2 linked regions of the Drosophila melanogaster genome follow. The protein of the gene in region 2 interacts with the protein of the main gene of each other region in a pairwise test. Each region holds a gene or a part of one and is shown on either strand. Other genes may lie near its edges.

Region 1 (3,754 bases), on a different chromosome or scaffold from region 2:
AAATCTCTTTTGAAGTCCTCCCAGATCGCCTTCCGCATAAATTTCCGCGCACTTCAAGAGCTTTCTCCGAACACTTCTCCCGTATCTAGATAAATGTTTCTTCATGTTTGTTTCCCATTTCTTGGCCTTTTTGCTGTGTGTTTTTTGTTTGGATTCGTTTCGTTTTTTAGTTTACTATTTTTATTGTTTGCGGGGTACAAGAGTACAACTCACTTGTAGGAGCGCTATCACCAGCTGGATGGGTCCGCATCGGACGACAACGGTGCCAATGGTGGTGGCTCTCAGGGAGGAGGAGGATGGTGGTGTGGTGTGGGTGGTGCCGGTGCCGGTGCCCGTGCCCGTGGACATGGCTGTGGACATGGCCTGACTTGGAGTCGGCGACGATGATGACATTGTTGCTGAATAATTGAAGGCGTCTAGCTGGGACTGCTGAGATTGCTGGGATTGCTGCGTCTGAAGTTGGTGGCCGGTGTGCGGCTGGCGGGGATTGGGATTCGAGGAGGAGGCGACCGAGTAGAGCGAAGACATCGATGAGTCTAGGGCTTGGCGGCGTTCCATGGTTGCTTTTCTTTCTATCTGCTCGTCTCTACTTCTCTCTGTTTTCTTTTTTTTTGACTAACTTTCGAGGATTGAGTGAGTGCTTGTAGTTTGGTGTGTTTTGCGTGGGCGTTTTATAATCTCTGTCGTTTAGTTTTTCTCGTATTTTGGCTTACTTCCCCTGCTTGTGTCTCGTGTTTTGCATTTTGAACTCTGCTCGAAAAAGTGGAACTATTAGATTGAGTCACTCGCGTTCGGATTTAATTTATTGGGATTAGTTATAGCCAGGGGATTCGATTCGGCGGTTCCTTCGTTTCGTTGCGAGCGCTATCAACGCCGGCGATCGTCTGAGAACCTCCGCGAATCGGTAGATTTTCGAAACGGAGAATTCTTTTTGCCCGCCGCGATGACTATGACTTCATACTCGCGCTCTCCCTGTCGCTCTAGTGTCTGTTTATTATTCCGTAGTGTCTATATATACGGCTATATAGCCGAGAGAATCGTGTGTACTTTTTGCATATTGAGCCTGAGAAAATTGCCTTTGATGCGTGTGCTAGTCTCGTTGTAGAACCTCGGTAGCCCCCCGCCCCGCCAAAACTCAAAGACAATGCTCGATTCGCGTTTATTTTTAAAACAACAAACTATTGAGTAATTTTTTGCGGCGATTTCTGCCACGAAGCTAAACTGTTGTTCTAGCCCAGATACTCAGATACTGCGATGCTACAGATACAGGCTACTATAGCTAATAGATAAAGCGCGCGGATGTTCGTCAAATCTGTAACATGTGCCAATTGCATTGGCAGAAGTCGTCGCCAGTCAGTCATTTTTCATGGATTTTTCGATATTTTTGAATACATTACGCATACGCCGCGTATGCTCGTGTGCAGCCAGCTGCCTCCATTAGGTAATTTTTGGTGTTTCTCTCAATTTTTAATAGTCGCCGCCGTTGCTGGCGTAATGTAAACTATTTTAATTGTACTTTGCGCTGTCTAAAAATAAGCAGCAAACCAAAAATTGGGAAGAACAAGTTCCCTTTATAAAAGTTTACAGTAGCGCAATCGAGGAAATGCTTTGCCTCCATATGTTGTTGTCCAAAAAATTTAAAAGAAAAAAAAATGGAAAATTGTTGATTGAAATTTTCTGGGGCGTGGACTGTTGTAGTATATTGAAATATGCACATGACTCAAACAAATAAGCTTTCAATGCATCAGGTCACCGAATATTTTTGAAAAATATTTTTTTCGCGCATTCTGTGTCGTTTTCTATTTGTTAAACATTTTGTTTGTGCTTTCTGAGGGTCGTCACAAAACTGAATATTCGACAACAACAATAAATTTAGCACAGATTGTTGATTTCATCTTTAGACGAGTGAACGCAAAAAAAACTAGCGCCAAGCATTTTTGAATGTCAAAAATGTTCTAGGTAAATTATGGCTGATTAATTTACGTTTCATTTCGCTTTTTTTTTGAAGTGCCAAATTTATTGTTTTCTTCCTCGTTTTCTGCCTAACTTAATTTACATAGATATGTTTTTATTCGCACATTATATTCGAGCGGTGGAGATGTGGAAAATCAAAACGCGCGCGCCGCTTTCCCAACAGCCGAACAACCGAACGCCGCGAACTTCGAACAAGACTGACTAAATGATCGGAAGACTGAAGACCGGAGACCGAAGACTGAGCAGATTCTACGGGAGACAGCCGATCAGAAAGAGATAAAGAGCGTGCAGCCCATGAAACTTAACCGATTCGCTCAATTCATTCATGCAGGTAGCGGTTCTCTTGTTTTGATCTCTTGACACTGGCTAAGCTCAGTTTTGAAAAGCCGGCTTGTATTTTGAAAATGAGAGAGTGTGAAAGAGAGGGCTGGAGACGCTAGACGCTAGAGAAAGAGGCAAGATGCGGGGCTTCAGGGGAGACGACATAAATAAACAAGTGCTCTTGGCATTCGCGGCGTCGTTAATTCATGATTTCAATTTTTAATGCCCTGCGCCCGGCTTTTCAGCAATTACAATACGAAGAGAAGGTAAAGCGATATGAAGCGAGCTTGTACCCTGTAATTCTGATGATAAAGGGTAACTTTAAGCGAACTGTTGCTACCCTCTTATGCCCTCACTTTATTTATTCGCATTTACTTTTGAATATTCATCTAACTTAACATCTTATGTGTGGATGATTTTTCCCCTTGGCTAGACCTTTTCCTCGTTGGTCTTATACACCCCATATAAGACGAGGTACCTTAAACCACAACATATTCAAGTGCAGCTTTTGTACTTTAATAACATGGTGAAGAGTGGAAGATCAAAATAACAACACCAGAGCAGCGGAGGAAACCAGACGATATCGTGTCTTAATGCAAGGCAAACTGACTGACCGCCCGCATTTAAATCCCCTCACCACCCATGATGCTCTATACCCCAATTTATGAAGTATTTTTCACCCAAAATGCGTGTCTTGCAGCTTTGGCTTTGGCTCCGGATTTCGTGCAATATTCAACGTGCAACATCCGACGCTTCTTGCGTGCAACAGCAGTTGCGGCAATCAATGCGCTGCAGATGTGTGTTATTATTTTTCGCTATCAACGATTCGAACTTATCGAATTATGCTTTCAGCGCCGGCACGTCAGAAAATCTGGTCGAATGGCATGAAAAGAATCTCATAGATATTTGGTTCGCCTTTCTGGATGATCAGCTCGTTAAGTATAAACTCTTTTCACTCACTCACCACACTCAGAGCGATTTATTTATATGTTTTTTAATTGAGATTAATGAGCCACTTGACGAAGCTCACAAAAGCAGCCAACCCCTCTTAACCCCATTTCCCCGCTGCACCCACTGCCAGTTCACATTTCAGATAATTGAAATCACTTGAGGACCACTTGTTAAATGTTTGGGGGAAAGGGCCACCCACAGAGGGAAATTGAAAAAAATTATTTAGGGTGGAAAAGTCCAAAAGAGCACTCAAGGGTTAAGTGCAGATGATGGCAATGACTTTTCACGGATGCAGCCCAAAGTTATGCAATGTTTTCATGGATTTTCGAGATTACATTCAAATTTTGCAGTTACGAGTTACTTACTTGCTTAAGCATAAAATTTAAAACTAAATACCTGAAAAGTTAGGAGGTATTGAAAAAAATTATAAATGATTAGCTTTATTTTTGGGGTAAAACATGTTCGATATTAATTGCACTATGTTTTGTGACTGTGACTGTGTGGGAGA
Region 2 (3,754 bases):
GACATTAATGATGATAAGCTGATATATAAAGTTTTCCCCGTTTCAAAAGAAAAGAAAAGTGTACTCCATTGTTTTTGATTTAATGCTTTTATTTTGAAAAAATAATTATTTGGGTAACTTAAAGTAGCAATAAATATTCATATTTGTTTAAAATTAAATAATGAAAAAAAAGGTATATTCGAAAACTACATAACAGCAGCAAAAAAAAAAATGGTTATATTAGTAATTGGAATAAATAGTGATTAAGGTGGCCTAAGAAATTATGTACAGTAATTGAAAGATGATTAGTTTACGACTTAGGAACTAGTTAAGCGTCATAGTTAAGCGTTTTCCCCCCGTTTGTCAGCGTTGCTCGCTTTCTCGTCTCCATCTTCATCTCCATCTCGCATTTAGTTTCTCTTCTCATTTTTGTGGCTTTCCGAGGATCTGTTTGAAATTACCTCTGCTCAGACATATATAGACGAGGGCAGGGCCAATCCCACCTCGAAGTAATTGCGCTCGTCGACCTTGTAGCGCTTAATGGGGGACTCCTTGGCGACGATCTCCTTGCGGGTCCTCTTCAGGGCCTTGACTGGAGTCTCCAGGCAGAAGGTGTTGTCGCAGGGGGCAGACTTGGGGGCCACTGGAGTGGCCAGTTGGACAAGCAAGTTGTGAGGAATCTTGGCCAGGGGCGATGCCGGTTCCGGAGTGGGCATCAGGTTGTGCATGGGCAGGGGAACCAGGCCAAAGCTCAGATCCGAGGCCGGATCGTCTCCAGGTGCGTAGGATGGCGACAGCACCTCCTGGGGGCAGTTCGACTCCATTTGCTGCTTGACCAAGGTGCGTCTGCGCAGATTGAAGGTGGACCTTCTCGGCTTCTTCTTGCTGCTGGCGTTCGCCTTGCAGGCGGAATCCAAGATGGCATCGATTAGGCGATCCAAGGTCTGATCACCCATCTGCGTGGAGGCGGGCTGCGGTGTGCTTGGACGCACTTCCACCTTGGGGGTGGGTGGCTCTGGCACTGCCGTCTCCTGCAACTCCGGCTCCAAGGTGGCCACAAAGTCCTCGTCCAGTCTACGCTGCTTGAGTTTGTTAACTCCTGCACCCGAGCCTACAATATAGCGCGGCTGGCCCAGAAAGGGATCCAACGGAGCCAGGCCCCTCAGCGCCAAGTGCTGACCACTGGGCAGTCCGTTGGGCGAGTAGTCCTCGGCAAAACGTGGCAATGTGGTGGCGTATCGCACACTCTGTACCCTTTGGGGCGCCTGACTGCGCACCACCGCCTCCGGGGTGACATTCCGGATATCGCTCAGCGGCGCCAGGACCAGGGGACTGTTGCGCAGCCGGGTAATGGGCACTGGCGTGGAGGTGTAGCCCACGGTGTCAGGCACGTTCTCCTTGTTGGCAATGGTGGCCCTCCGCTGACGGCGCTGCCTCCTCTGCAGCCTCCTCCTCTGCGGCTGGTTGGCATCCTGATCGTGCACGGGAATCTCGTTCAGGCGCTGCGCCGATGCCGTCCACTTCAGCATGTTGTGTGTGGTTCTGTTTCTGCTGCTCCTGGTGCACAAAAAAAAAAGATGTACTTCTAGACTCTGCTAGTCTTCTGCTCTCGACCGCTCTCGCTGACAAACTGAAGCGGTACGGGGAGCGGGCTGCGTTTTATACCCGCTCGGCGCTCAGGGGTTAATGGCTAGGGGTTACGGGGCTAGGGGTTGTTGCGCAAGAGGCACCCCGGCGGGCAGAAGGACACTCGCTCTCTCCGGCGTTCTCTCCTTGGATGAAAAGACTCTCTTTGGCCAACGGATGTGTGTGGTAGCAAATTGTCTTTGGATCTCGAGGAACTTGAGCAACAAGCTCGAGGATATCAGCAGCTTAGCTTAGAATATGAAAGTATGATCTCTATGCCAACGAGATCTGATATTTTGATGGAGGTATTGGAGGTATTCGTCCTTTCCCACAGTTCGCAGTACCGGCCGAGAATCACCCACTCCAATCCAGGCACTCATCCACAGCACCACCACACGAAAATGACATCTAGATGTCTATCGGCCAGCGCTTGGTTATTAAATTTGCTTTCATTCCCCTCAAGGAAGTCTGCTTCCTTTCGCCCTTGTCTCCCCCTCATTTGAATGGACATTTAGAGCAGCAACAGGCTGGAAAATAGTGAACGGAAAAGGGAGAAGGGAAGTCAGGTTGGCCGGCTAATTAGCCGATGCCAAGTCCAACTTCCTGGCCGACAGCTCCTCGTCATTTTAGCCACTTGTCGTAGCGCGGTATCAGTATTAATTGCGGCTCTTTAGCGGCCGCAAATGCAATTTATATACTCGGCGGCTTTAATTGAAAATGTTTGCCACTTCCGGAAGGAAGCATTAGAAAAACGTTACAAACTCTGGGAAAAGTCCTGTGCAAAGCGTCAGTTGCTCACCCAACAGGGGAAAAGTTTGTACACAGTATGCATTATCAAATTATCAACTTTTTAATAAGTGTTCTTTCTACAAATAGATGGGCCTCATGCAATGCAAATTCACAACTTGTATGGATTTAACTTTGAAATGTAAATGTAAAAGGAAATGGTTCCCATAACCTTTGTAGTGATCTATATTTTAAAGCACAGCCGCTGTCCTCCATATGAATATGAAATATGGAACCAATAAGTAGATTATATTTCCGATGACAAGATCAAAGATAACTGCCCCCATATGTGGCTCTTGACCAGCTGTAGATGAAGTGATCATCGAGATCCCTGAGTGATCTTCAAGTGATCATCGACCAGCGATCCTAAGTGACGTTCAAGTGATCGGCGCTCGTCATCTCCTGGACTTGGATCACTCAAAGTGTCCGTGACCGACGTGGCTTGCTATCTGACGTTCTGATCTAGTTCAGCATGTAAAGGCATCTTTGAATGGGTTCTGGTCCCCTGGAGATATCTTTATTTGCGATCGATTGCTGAAAGATTTTCGCTAACGGGGATCGTATATTTCGCACGTTATCCTTTTCGGCTTTTTTGTGGTGAAAGTCGTTTTGTTTCATATGTTTTCATGTGACTATCTTCCGATCGGCTTTCATCCTGGATAGGGACACAAAAAGGGTGCTGGGGTAGTTAATCGATTACCCCGTTCCATCCACTGAAATGGCGAATTTCTCAACTTTTCAACTCTTTTTCAACGTTTACTTTGCGAAATGCGCTCCTGCTTTTGCTTACTTTTTACCTCTTTTCCCTTCGATTTGCCCTCGTTATGTCCCCGAGTCCTTCGATTCTCTTTGTGGCGCTGAGTTATTGCTGTTTACACAGCCGCACAAAAGGATTAAATGGGTTTTTGAGAGAGTTTCCAGCGCTAAGAAAGGATTCCGGCATGTTGATTAATATGATTTAACGAGCATCCTGCCTAACAAGGCGTATCCCGGCTAGTCTTCACCGGCAATTTCCACACAAAATTACCATAATCCTCGCATTTTCTGCGGTTTTTTTGGGACACAACGAAACACAAATGGATAAAGAACCACACGAAAACCTCTCAAATTCAATTTGAATTTTCGGCATTTCGTGTGCGACGATTTTACGCTTAATTAACGAGCCCAAGGACCCTGCCTCAAGGACAGCCCGAAGTCACGATCCAGTCCCGATCGCTGTATGCAAATTGCCCATGCATTTTTTACCGCTCCGCCCGGGCTGCATCTCCCGTCCCTTTCCCCTGCACGCGTGCTCGAGCGAGAGCGCGTCGCCAAGAGCCACTTGACTTTCACTCTCACTCAGCCGTCGTCCCGAGGTCCTGCG

Evidence for each region. The genes of interacting proteins can lie anywhere in the genome.
Region 1: the proteins of CG12496 (region 2) and zormin interact in a two-hybrid assay, tested with the Drosophila melanogaster proteins (one large-scale study listed by BioGRID).

The regions. Positions count from the first base shown.
Region 1 is NT_037436.4:2,149,532-2,153,285, forward strand, and holds the start of zormin (zormin), read right to left. Parts: upstream 2,170-3,754; 5' UTR 2,079-2,169; intron 751-2,078; 5' UTR 559-750; coding exon 214-558; intron 1-213.
Region 2 is NC_004354.4:2,409,289-2,413,042, forward strand, and holds CG12496 (uncharacterized protein), read right to left. Parts: upstream 1,614-3,754; 5' UTR 1,509-1,613; coding exon 447-1,508; 3' UTR 77-446; downstream 1-76.